Saccharomyces cerevisiae S288C: one gene and its partner. The protein of the gene in region 1 binds, or shares a complex with, the protein of each later gene. Each region holds a gene or a part of one and is shown on either strand. Other genes may lie near its edges. The genes, in order: IML1 and NPR3.

Region 1 (7,139 bases):
TCTGATAATGCTACTTTAGTCTCTTCGTTAGCAATCTCCAAGGTAGGAAAGTCGATGTCTTGTTCAATAGCTGTACTCGTGCCAATTTTCTCCAAGTTAAGAAAATGGAAAACTGGGGTCAGAGAACTTGTAGCAATCTTATAAGAAGAGTCCGCGTTTGAAATTGCAGTTTGCAAATCAGAAGATATTAAGATGGGGAAAGAAAGATCCTTTAACGCAGGAATTGCGGAATAATCTTGCAAATTCAAATCCACTGTAATCACCAATGGAAGTTTATTAGGAAGAGAATATAGATGGTGGATGGATTTGACCAAAGTAGTTTCATCTGTAAAAACGGTAGTTAAAATGTCCTTAGAGAGTTGATCTTTGATGGTATTCAATGGATCTTGATTGTTCAATAGATGAGTAGCATCTGTGGCAACAGATTCTAGCCCTTTGAAGGATGAATGACTATTTTTTGTGCTAGTAGTGTAGAACACTTTATTTTGGGGAGCACTAGAGGAATATTGCGCCAACAATTGTGGGAGCGTCAAGAGGTCAGAAGCAGTCATTCGCCAATCTTTTGTTTTTCTCTGGTTCCCGTTCCCTACTGTTACTTTATTAGTATATAAGGGATCTGAATAAATATCAAGACGATGGAAAAAAAATAACAAGCAAAGGAACCTTTCTATATCCCAATTTTATTTCACATTAAAAACTATCGTCTTCCAACACTTTATATAACTGCTTGCAGCGGCCAGTAATTCGTCGCATCTCCATGACTCAAATTTTCCAGTGTCTCTTAGCAGTTAAACCATTCCTGCCTCTGTGTGGTGGTAATTGTGGCATTATGAGTTAAGAGATAATACGCACGTGATGAAATTCATTCTGTGAAATATCACGTGGACAAATTATATTACCCGGATTCATAAATCCACGTATTTTACCTGCATCTTTATTGAGTGCTTAGTAAAAGTCAGTTGGTGAAATTCCGCAGATAAAACAGCATATTAGTTGCCTGAAAATAGCCTTATGTGTTGGTTTGATACGTCTTTGTCATTATATACCCAAAGGTTTGTAGTTCATGTTGCGGGTTGGTATGAATAAATTTTTCGTATTTAGTGATTATAATACTTATTACCCATTTCGGCGGCTAATAAGGAATCTGCTAAGATAGGTAAATGTACAATACCATCAATGGCTTCTAAAAGTTTTCAAAGAAGTGGGATAAGGGATGAAAGTTGTGCGTGTGTTGGTTACTTAGGTTCTAATTTGGCTTCAATTTGAAGTGAGATGTTTTGTTTAACATTAGTTTCAAATTAACAGCTTTTGTGAGAAAATATATTTTGGATGAATAGCAGAAAATAGAAATCTGGAAATAAACAAAACAGAGCCAAAATTCTAAGCTTAATAACATGAATATTTGTTTATCTAGCATCTTGTTCCTCCCACTCTTTTTCCGAAAATATGGCTAGCCAACTTAGGTGAATGGGGAAGGGTACTAGATTCATTCATTTATTTCTATTCAAGGACAAGAACTTTTAACATAGTAAGACCTTTATGTTAGTTTGGTGCGGCTGACAAATTCATAGCTAATGTGCTAGAGCTCTTATATTGGTAATTACTAATCCTTCATTGCTATTATGACTATCACATTATAAGGTAATGAAAAATTAAATCATTGTGTACGGATTAAGTCCTTTCTCTAAAAGAGATCACGTGACTATTTGAATCACTATCTATGTTAATCATTATTGTTTAAAAGATAGTAAGTGACAGAACAACGAATTGTTTCTGTAACTACTTTTTAAGCAGGGAAATAACTCAGCACTGACAAGGGACACTTTTTAAGGATGTTCGCTAAATTGCATGGGAAGAAACAAAGACCAATTTCTTCCATCAATTCACAAACTCCAAGGACTAGCAATACTACTCACGCAAATAGCATATCCTTATCATCGGGTAATTTGATAGTAGGTTCCAATAGAAATTTAAGACAAAAGAAAGAGCAGTTTGGTTCTCAACAAAGGGCTTCCGGCAGAAAGCTGATTTCAAATAAGGAAAATGACGATAACGTCAACAATGGTGGTGACAACAATTATGACAATGGGGAACGGGTCCATCGCCATCATATTCCAGGACTGAAAATAAAGGCGTATCAAGCTGAATTAGGCTATCATGAGTCCCGATTTTCCGAGAATTTAGTGATGCTAAATCTAGTTGAGTTCCCGGATATAAAACCTGGTGATTTGGTAGAATTGAAAACATATCACAAAAATCCATCTGCATCGAACGGAGATAAGAAAATTTATTTTATTGCAAAAGATTTTGACGGAGAGACTAAAAGAAGGGCAAAAACATCTAATGTTTCAATACTTTCGGGTCAACTGCAAACTTTGTTAGATTTGCCTTCTAGGTCTAGGATATGGATAAAATTGAAACCAAACAAATTTGACTTACAGGCAGATGTGGTAGAGTTTAATATCAAAGATTGCCTACTAAATAGAGGTGATATGTGGGTTCTATCATCTAAGCTGGTAGATACATGTGTGTTTATGGATCAAAGACTGGCATTCTTAGACTCTATCAGAGGTACTATTAAGGGAATTTATCGAAATGGTAAGAAGATTGTTTCTGGATATATTGGCGAACAAACAAGGATAATTTTTCGGTCCGAATCTGCCAGATTAATTTTTTTGATTCAAATAACTGATGAAATGTGGAACTTCGAAGAAACTGGTGAACAATTATTTCAAAAGATGGTTAATTCATTTTTCCCGAAGATCTTCAAAAAATGGAAAGATGTGGACACCCACCATACTATCACTATAGCCTTCGCTATATCAATGGACTTGTCTGATACATCATTCAAGGACTTAACACCCGGCGAATCTTTGAAAAATTCACAGGATTATTTTAGGATAGTTGTAGATCAAGTCAGTATTATCCATTGGGTTGATATTATGGAAACATTAAGAGAAGAATTTATGGAAATCAGAAAAGATTTATTAAACAAGCAAACGGATAAGGGTTACAGTGTAGCGAATGGAAGATTTTCACCTGTAATCAAGTCGAATTTTCTCGAATTGGTCAATTTTGCCACGACAATTTTAACGGATCCTTTCAAGCAATTAGATCTTCGACACACTACAACGCACGTCATGATTATTTCACCAGGGTCTGGATTATTTGACGTTGATTATAGTTTATTAAGGCTAACAGGAAAAAAACTACTCTCTCTTGAAATGACGATGGATTTAATATGTCTTTCAAAAGCTCCATTGCACATAGTTCCACTTTTTAGGTACCGAGACTTTGAGAACAAGCTTCATCATTGTGTACCGCTTTGGTTAAGTGTTTTCTTTTGGAATGATCATGACAAAAAGAGTAACTCAGAATGGACTCCAAGATGTAAAATTTATGACTTACAAATGATGGGGATTACTGAAAATGAGTTAATTCGGGAAGTGGATGTTGAATATTTACAGCTGAACAAGAAAGTCAAATCACTATCCGAGTTTATGAATGATTACGACAAAAATGCCTTCGAGGTGAAAATTTTATGCGCTGGCTCTAATACGAAACAATCTAAGAAATTAAATTCAAAGTTTGATACCGTCTTCGAGAATGATGTTGTTGTGAAGGCAAGGAAAATCCCGGCAACAGCAACAACAACACACGGTAACACAAAATTCATATGGAGAGGTCCAAAAGTTGCTCTCCCAGCCATTAAGGATATTCAAAAACCAAACGTAATACCAGATCTATCAATAAAAACAATAGAGGCCTCTTTTTATGATGATTGTAATACTACAAATGATAAAATTAGCACTCCCACCACTTCTAACAATGACAATCTCGAAATGAATGACTCATTGGTCTCTGTGAGATCTGCTGATAACCAAAACACATCTTTGGCGCTGGATTCGCTCAAAGGACTAAGCAAAAGGAACTCATTGAAAGATTTTACTCAAAGAGTAATTACAAAATTTATTTCGAACATAGACACAAGTAAAAATAAAAAAATAAAGTCAACATTACTCAGAGATGATGTGGATAACTCACCTTTAGGTTCAAATACACCACTACCATCTTCTGAAAGTAAAATAAGTGGCCTGAAATTACAACAAAAAGGCCTGGCAGATGAAAACGTTATCAGTAAACGTGGAAATTTGATAATAAAGAAAAACCTATCCATTTTTGGGCTACCTAGTAATGAAATCATGAGTGGTTCACCCTCCTCATATTTAGGCTCATCACATACCAGAACATCCTCTAAACTTTCTAATATGTCAGACAAGGCTGCTTTCATTACAGAAGGGCAAAAATCAAAACATGATGACTCGAACACTTATAGCCTCACACAGCAATTGAAACATCGTATAAGTGAAACTTGGGTGGATATTAAAAGTCCTTCCATTCCGGTAAGTAGTGAATTTGCCAACGAATTATTGCCTATACGTTGGAAAGATGTATGGCCAAAATATGTGGCCAGAAAATATAGTAAATGGAGGTCTTTTACAACCCCAGCAGAGTTACCAATCACAATTTCTGATTTTCCATCCAAGGATGATTTTGATAGGAACTTCATCTTCAGAAATCACTCAGTGACTTTAAACACAGATCAAGAACAATATAATCAGACATACAAAGACTTACTTCGTGATATGATTTATATGCGACTGTTAACTGGTTTTCAAATCTGCGTGGGCCGACAAGTAGAAAAAATAGAACTTTCTAGGGAAAGTGGTGAAAGTGAAACTGTAGTCAACAAGTATTTAGATTTCAATCAAAATGATGCGTTCAAACTTTATCTAATGATCGACTCTGAAATACACAGAATAACATGCTCGTCAAGTGGAATTATTGATGTGGAGAGGTATTTGAGAAAAGATGAAGCAAACTTGTTTGATCAGGTTCCTAGTTATATTCCGTTGGTTAAAACGAGATACGAGAGCTCATTTCGTGATGCTATGATTGACCCACTTCATGTTAAAAGAGAATCTTTGAACTGGAATCAAATTGATCAGGTTCTAGCAGGTTATGGCGATAACTTAATAGATAGGAAATGGCACGGATTTCGAGCTAAATATGTGGTGTTACCAACAGATATCCCTCCCAACACATATTCTATGGTTATCAATGGTAAAAGCGAAACTTTAAACCCAGAAGAAATCAGAGTCGAGGGTTTGAGAAGATTAATTGGCTCAATAACGAGGTCAAGACTAAGAACAGAGAAAGAAAAAAAAGGAAGAAAAACTAAGAGAGAAGAAATACAGCCTGAAGTTATGTTTTACACCGGCCCGCTTTACAACTTCATTAATGAGCAACAAACATCTTTAGAAAGCTCGGCTATAAATTTTAAAGATTCAATTTTTGTTAATGATAATAACCTTTTAAACAGAAATGTAGAACTATCCAAGTTGGCGTATCAAATTCAACGTGGCGAAGATCGCATTACTTTAGTCAACAGAAAATGGCACTGGAAAAAGCATGAAAAGTGTTTTGTTGGCTCGGAGATGGTTAATTGGCTCATAAGAAACTTCTCTGATATAGATACTCGAGAAGATGCAATTAAATATGGGCAGAAGGTGATGAAAGAGGGATTATTTGTTCACGTTTTAAATAAGCACAATTTTTTGGACGGGCACTACTTTTACCAGTTCTCACCTGAATACGTAATGGACACTAATAAACTAGAAAAAACAAACTCCCATCGCTCTACATTATCCGATCCAAAGCAGATGTTGAGAAAAGCATCCACTGGTAGCTCAAACGATCCAAGCGCTATGACTCCTTTTTCTTCAGTAGTACCTGCTATAAGCGCTTCGAATGCTTCAGTTGCTGACGCCAAAGAGCCATCACGCCCTATTTTAATGCTGAGTAACTCTCTTGTTATCGATGTTGATCCCGCGGGAAAATCCTCGAAACAAGAATCGTGTACAGTCCATTATGACAGAGTTCATAACCCCGACCACTGTTTTCACATAAGATTGGAATGGTTGACTACCACCCCAAAATTGATCGATGATTTGGTTGGGAACTGGTCAAGGTTATGCGAAAGGTACGGTTTGAAAATGATTGAAATTCCTTGGGAAGAACTTTGTACTATCCCTTCGGTCAATCCATTTCACTCTTTTGTGGAAATTAAGTTAGCTATCAATCCTTGGGAAGATCCTGAGTTCAAGGATAGGGAGCTTTTCGCTAAAAGCAAATTCTACTACCACGTTTATCTTTTAAAGGCATCTGGGTTTTTATTAGACAATAGGGCATCCAAATTTTTACAAAATCAAGATATAGAGTTTGACATCATGTATTCATGGGGCAAACCACAGTTCAAATATGTTCAATATATTCATCATACGGGTGCTTACGTCGCGGAATTGAGGGAAAATGGCTGCCTATTTTTAGCTCCTAACAACATTTATATATCCAGAGTGAATCCGGGAAACATAATCGGGAAAATTCATTCTGCTTCAAGCTCTTCATTAGATGCTCAAAAAGTGATCCTAAATTTCAAATCAACTTGCTTGGACTATCAGAAGTTAAGGTCAATTTTCCTTGACGCAAAGGAAATGTGGATTACAGGAAAGATTGTAGAAGATTGAGTAGCCCCATGACATGGATGAGTTTCTTCACAAAGTAAATAATATTCGAACGTGGATAGTAAAGCATAATGTTATCTATTTATATATAAATATACCTATGTTTTTATATGTCTGTTTACTGATCTAAAGTCTTTGAGCAATCTTGATAACATCACCCAAAACACCAGCGGCAGTAACGGCAGCACCGGCACCGGCACCTTGAATGACAACAGGATTGGTGTAACGCTTAGTCTTGATGGAAATAACGTTATCTGATCCCTTCAATGATGCGAATGGGTGTGAGTAATCGTACTTTTCAATTCCTACAGACACAGATTTGGTGGCAACATCGACTTTACCAATGAATCTCAATACCTTATTTTCAGTGGCAGCTTCCTTCTTCAATTGAGTCAAATCTTTATCGTAATCAGATAATTTTTCCAAGAATTCATCAGCAGACTTGACAGATTCCAATGGTTTTGGAATCAAAGACTGGACAGGGAAGGAAGTTGGAGATTCAACTTCCACACCAGATATCCTACCAACAATGGTAACCTTTCTAGCAACATCCAA
Region 2 (5,963 bases), on another chromosome or scaffold:
GGAATAACGTAAAAGAAAGTCTACTACCCAAGGAAAATCTACTTTATTTAGTGATTATATCCAACTAAATATCATTCAAATAACCTCACATATTTGTCTTCACCCTTAAGATTTTACGATTTACTAAGTTCACCTTCTCATGGCTTTGGAGGGATTGCGGAAAAAATATAAAACAAGGCAGGAATTGGTCAAAGCACTCACTCCTAAAAGACGGTCCATTCACTTGAACTCCAATGGTCACTCCAACGGAACTCCCTGTTCAAACGCAGATGTTTTGGCTCATATTAAGCATTTCCTGTCATTGGCGGCTAATTCATTAGAGCAACATCAACAGCCTATTTCAATCGTCTTTCAAAACAAAAAAAAAAAAGGCGATACAAGCAGTCCTGACATTCACACAACATTGGACTTCCCTTTGAATGGCCCGCATCTATGCACTCATCAGTTCAAGTTGAAAAGATGCGCAATCCTTTTAAACTTATTGAAAGTCGTTATGGAAAAATTACCGCTAGGTAAAAACACTACAGTGAGAGATATCTTCTACTCCAACGTGGAATTGTTTCAAAGACAAGCAAACGTAGTCCAGTGGCTGGACGTTATACGCTTTAATTTCAAGCTCTCTCCAAGAAAATCCTTAAACATTATACCAGCTCAAAAGGGTTTAGTTTATTCGCCTTTCCCCATTGATATTTATGACAATATTCTGACATGTGAAAATGAACCAAAGATGCAAAAGCAAACAATTTTCCCTGGTAAGCCCTGTCTAATTCCATTTTTCCAAGATGATGCGGTCATCAAGTTAGGGACAACAAGTATGTGTAATATTGTAATAGTGGAAAAAGAAGCTGTCTTCACCAAATTAGTAAATAATTATCACAAGTTGAGTACAAATACCATGCTCATTACAGGTAAGGGATTTCCAGATTTCTTGACAAGGTTATTCCTAAAAAAACTAGAACAATATTGCTCCAAATTGATATCGGACTGTTCTATATTTACCGATGCGGACCCCTATGGGATTAGCATAGCCCTAAATTATACTCACTCGAATGAACGCAACGCTTATATTTGCACGATGGCAAACTATAAAGGAATTCGTATTACGCAAGTTTTGGCACAAAATAATGAAGTGCATAACAAATCCATTCAATTATTGAGTTTGAATCAGCGCGACTACTCCTTAGCCAAGAATTTGATAGCATCTCTGACTGCCAACAGCTGGGATATTGCAACTTCACCATTAAAGAACGTCATCATAGAATGTCAGCGGGAAATTTTTTTCCAAAAGAAAGCTGAAATGAACGAGATTGATGCCAGAATTTTTGAATACAAATGAATAAGAATGGGAGCTGTTGCTTTATAAAAAATGTTTTTCAAGAATTGAAAACGGTTACATTTAAATATTATATAAATTGAAATCTTTGATAATGAATACTAGTCCAAAAAAAAATACAATTTCAAAAAAATAAATGCCATCTCCTAGAATCGAACCAGGGTTTCATCGGCCACAACGATGTGTACTAACCACTATACTAAGATGGCATATGATTTTACAATGATTCGATGGTGAATGAGTTATAAGCCATGTAAGGATCACTAGTCTTTTTTCTTAAGTAACTTTTTCGCTTGTGATATCTTGAAATACCATTAAACATAGATAAGCTATTGAAATGTGAAGAAAATTCAAAAAAAAAAGGGAACAGAGTCATCTTTTGGGTAGAAACTAAGCTTCAATGGATGAATGTTTACCCAATTCATGTCTACTAGGTGTTCACCTCGTCATTTCAACGCATTCGGGGCCACAAATAGTTTATCACTACCCACCCTCCAATACAGCATTTCTAACAAATAATCCAACGAAGCATCAGCACCTCTATGGAAACCATGCAAATCTAAATAAAAACACAAGTACAAATAAAGAAGAAAAACTCTTTAATTCTGGCTCTACGAAAACAGCTTCTCAAATTGCTCTAAACGAGTCAGCGAAAAGTTACAATACCGCTATTACGCCATCAATGACAAATACTAATACTAATAATGTGACATTACCTCCAACTAGATCGCATGCTAATACTGTAGGATCACAAAGTTCAATTCCTGCGGCTACTAATGGTGTAGGTTATAGAAAAACCGATATCGAAGATACTTCTCGGACTTTTCAATACCAAGAAACTGAATCTGAAACGTCATCATCGGGATTAAGTGACAGCGAATTGTCCACAGACTACTTAGACATTTCTAGCGATTCGTTTTCTATATCTTCTTCCTTATCGTCATCTTCTTTATCTTCTTCTCCCTCAAGTTCATCCTCATCTTCCCCTCCGCAAGATGGCTTATCAAGAACTAATTCGAGTTTCCAATCTACGGATTCAATGTCTCCAACTTCACCACAAATGATAATGGAAAACGATAGTATTTCAGTAGCGGAATCATATCTAGATTCTGGGACTAATAACAAATCAAGGGCCGCTTCCAAGAGATCCCAGAATTTCTTCCATAAATTGAGTACCAAGAAGAGTACTGATTCAAAAACACATTCTCCAGTAAGAAAGCTTAAATCTAAGCCATCACAAAGCACTAAAAAAGGCAACAAACTGTTAAAAAATACGTCCAATGAGACTGATGGAAATGCTTTTACAGGAAGTTGTTCAATTTCTTCTAAAAAATCTTTATCGAGTACAGGAGAGCATAACCAAGAACTTCGTAATAGTAGCCTGAACGACACTCCTGGCCAATCACCTCATCATTACCACCATCGTTACCACCATTATCATAAAAATGCCGCGACGAGCCAACGAAATTCCCATACCCAGTACGATGTTGAAGAAGAAGACATGGAAGTTTCGGCAATGTTGCAGGATGGTAAAATCTCTATGAATGAAATTTTTTTTGAAGAGGAAAACTTCCAGGATATAAATAAAATTCTAGAATTTGATAATGATTTTGTTGCAGAATTTTGTAGCCCTGAGAGGGAAATGTGCAATACCAGATTCGAATTCACGGTGGATAATTTCTGCTTCTTAGGCTTACCTATTCATGTAGATTCTCAAGGCAGATGGAGAAAATCCAAGCACAAAAATAAAACCCGCTCTAAAAGATCTTCGAGTACTACAACAAACATCAGTAGAAAGAAATCTATCGCTTCCAAAATTTCATCACTGAGTGAGAATACTTTGAAGAAAGTTAATAGTGGTGAAGCTGACACTGTTTATGACAGTAATATTGGTCATGAGGCTTCTACTGATACGCCGAATTTGAGGATAAATACTGATGTCAGTGGAAACGAATTTGAGAGAGAAAAGGAAGACTTGGGCAAAAATATGAACATGTTTCATGTATGCTTTGTTATGAATCCGCATTTAATCGAATATAATAAAAGGATTGATGACATGTATCAGTTTGTTGTTACAAGGTTATCATTATTGTTAAGATATGTGCAATCAAAAACCTCGTACATTTCTAGCGAATGCCATATAATTTTAAAGGAAAAAGAACGGGTACTGAAACATTCGAAAACATACCAATCTATAAGAGGCGCAGGAAACAAGGGGAAGTATCTGTACCAAAGAATTTTAGCCAAATCTTCGTTGGCTAGGGCGCTAACGGAATGTGTTGATAAAATCCAACGAAATGAAATCGCATGTCTTGAGATCAATGACGATAAAGTAATTTCCTTGCAAATCCCGATTCAAAACGAGTTTGAAAAAATGCCAAACTTCAAACTGCAACCCGTGCTAAGAGGCTCATATTTGACGTCCATTTTGAACATGAAATTTTTAGAAAAATCATCATTGAGAATTGAAAGTCAAAATCGTCAAAACGATCAGGCTCAATTCAGTGATACCAATAATAACATATACAGGTTTGGCAATAATATTAATAGTACCGGCCACTGTGGAGCAGCAAATGTGGATGACGGGGACGACAATGAAAGCAATTACTACTGCGACGACAATGATGACCTTTTAAACTATGCGCTATTATTATTGGACGAGCCAAATAATATTATTAGCTCCCTCGAAACTTTTTCATACCAGGACGATATTGGCACTATCATATTGAAACATTTAGTCAGAAATATCCAGCCAAATATCCCTCTAAGGTCGTATCGCTATCTGATAACTGATTTATTAGATAACCCTTCTTCACTGGACGACCTTACTACAGAAACAAACTCATTGGAATCAAGCATACTGCGCTCTTGCGCATTGCATTTAATGTATTGGAGACATGCAAGAATAGTGATCCCACTAAGCTCCAAATACACGTATATTGTTTCACCCTTGGCTCCTATTCAAGGTTATACAATAGATGATTATAAAAGTACTTCACAAAATGATGGGAACGTGAAAAAAATGGACGATCGCGAAAATAATAAGAGTGGAAGCGACAGAGTACCACTAATTTATCAAAATTCGATGTTGTTCAGATCCAAATTCCCATCATTGCCCAGTTTACCCATTTTTTTAAGTTTGTTGTCCACGGACAAACCTCAAGCGTACAGTAACATAATCCCATCAAGGGAACATAAGCCAGTTTACCTGAACGCGTTAGCGTGGTTAATACAGTACGGGTATGTAACCCAATTATTGACTTTCATAAATATCCGAGTGGACAAACACATAAAAATGGCAGTAGATGAGGATCTAGAAAAGGAAGGCTTCCGTAAGACTAATACTGCTAGAAGGCCCAGCATGGACTACAAAAAAACTGATAAAAAGCTGGATGATGAAGATGGGCAAAGTAGAGATGCAAACGCCAGCGAAGCGTGTTCAGGAAAGAATGAAGGCATGCAGTCCAACGACAACAACAAAGATGTGGACGAAAAAGATAACGAAAATGATAGTCGTGTTGATGATCGTGATGACAATGAAATAGCTATTGCGGATGAAGAAGAAATACTACACTTCGAATACGATGATCCAGAAATGCAACATGACTATACTATAATTTTGGAACCTGAAAGAGCCACTGCGATTGAAAAAAGATGGCTTTATAGATGTATTTATGGTCAGCCTTCAGATATCCAGATTCTTTTTAACAAGTTGCTCAAGTACTTCAATGGAAAGGTCCCCATGGAATTGGTTATCATCAAAGAGGAAATTAGCAGACATGACCTAAAGAAATTGCTCAATGCTCTAGATAAGTATTTAATCGAGATACACCATTGGTAAATCTCTCTATTGTAACAAAATGTAAGTAAAAAAAAAAAAATCTACCAAAAATTAAAATATGTGTATATAAGAATAGACAAAAGGAAGAATATATAAAAGGAAAAAAACATTTCGAGTGACTTGTAATCAAAACTCGAAAGTATGTATTGTTATATTAGGAGACAAAGAAGGTAAAAGAAGGAAAGAAGGATGAAAACAATACCAAGTGAAAAAAAAAAAAAAGATCCAGAGAAAAAAATAGGGAGACGAAAAAGAAAACGAAACTGCACTTTTAAAGTTAACATCACCGCTGAATTACATACATCTTTTGCAGCTTTTACGACCAATCATTTTTAGTAATCTAAACTATAAGCTTTGTTATCTTCATTTATGTCACCAGTATCGTTTGATATGAATTCGTTCGCATGAACATGGGTACTGCCATGATTAGCAGCATGTGATTGGCTTACATTTATTGGAGGAGGGATCATGCTTCCATCTAACCCAGAAGGCGGAGGTGGTGACATGGGATAAACCATCATATATGGATGGTGATTTCCAGCAGAACCTTGAGAAGGATGCAATGGGCCCATTGGGCCCATATGGTATTGCATGGGGTGATAGTAATAAGGCTGGAAATAGTATGGTTTTGGAGGTACTTCATTGTATCCGTAGCTTGACCTCCTTGCATAGCGCTTTTTATATTGAGACTTATTACTGTTACTGTTGTTGTTGTTGTTGTTGTTGTTAGAGTTTCCTGCTGAGGAATTATTATATGTGGTAAAGGAATTAGCAGCATTATATCTACCA

What was found.
Region 2: IML1 (region 1) and NPR3 share a complex: the UniProt entries of both Saccharomyces cerevisiae proteins name them as parts of the SEA complex.

Annotation. Positions count from the first base shown.
Region 1 is NC_001142.9:682,735-689,873, forward strand, and holds IML1 (GTPase-activating protein IML1), read left to right. Parts: upstream 1-1,832; coding exon 1,833-6,587; downstream 6,588-7,139. Other genes in the region: MET5 (sulfite reductase (NADPH) subunit beta), read right to left, coding at 1-551; HOM6 (homoserine dehydrogenase), read right to left, coding at 6,711-7,139. UniProt on the Saccharomyces cerevisiae protein: Component of the SEA complex which coats the vacuolar membrane and is involved in intracellular trafficking, autophagy, response to nitrogen starvation, and amino acid biogenesis.
Region 2 is NC_001140.6:58,334-64,296, reverse strand, and holds NPR3 (Npr3p), read left to right. Parts: upstream 1-1,733; coding exon 1,734-5,174; downstream 5,175-5,963. Other genes in the region: SPO11 (DNA topoisomerase (ATP-hydrolyzing)), read left to right, coding at 140-1,336; RIM4 (Rim4p), read right to left, coding at 5,507-5,963. UniProt on the Saccharomyces cerevisiae protein: Component of the SEA complex which coats the vacuolar membrane and is involved in intracellular trafficking, autophagy, response to nitrogen starvation, and amino acid biogenesis. Mediates inactivation of the TORC1 complex in response to amino acid starvation.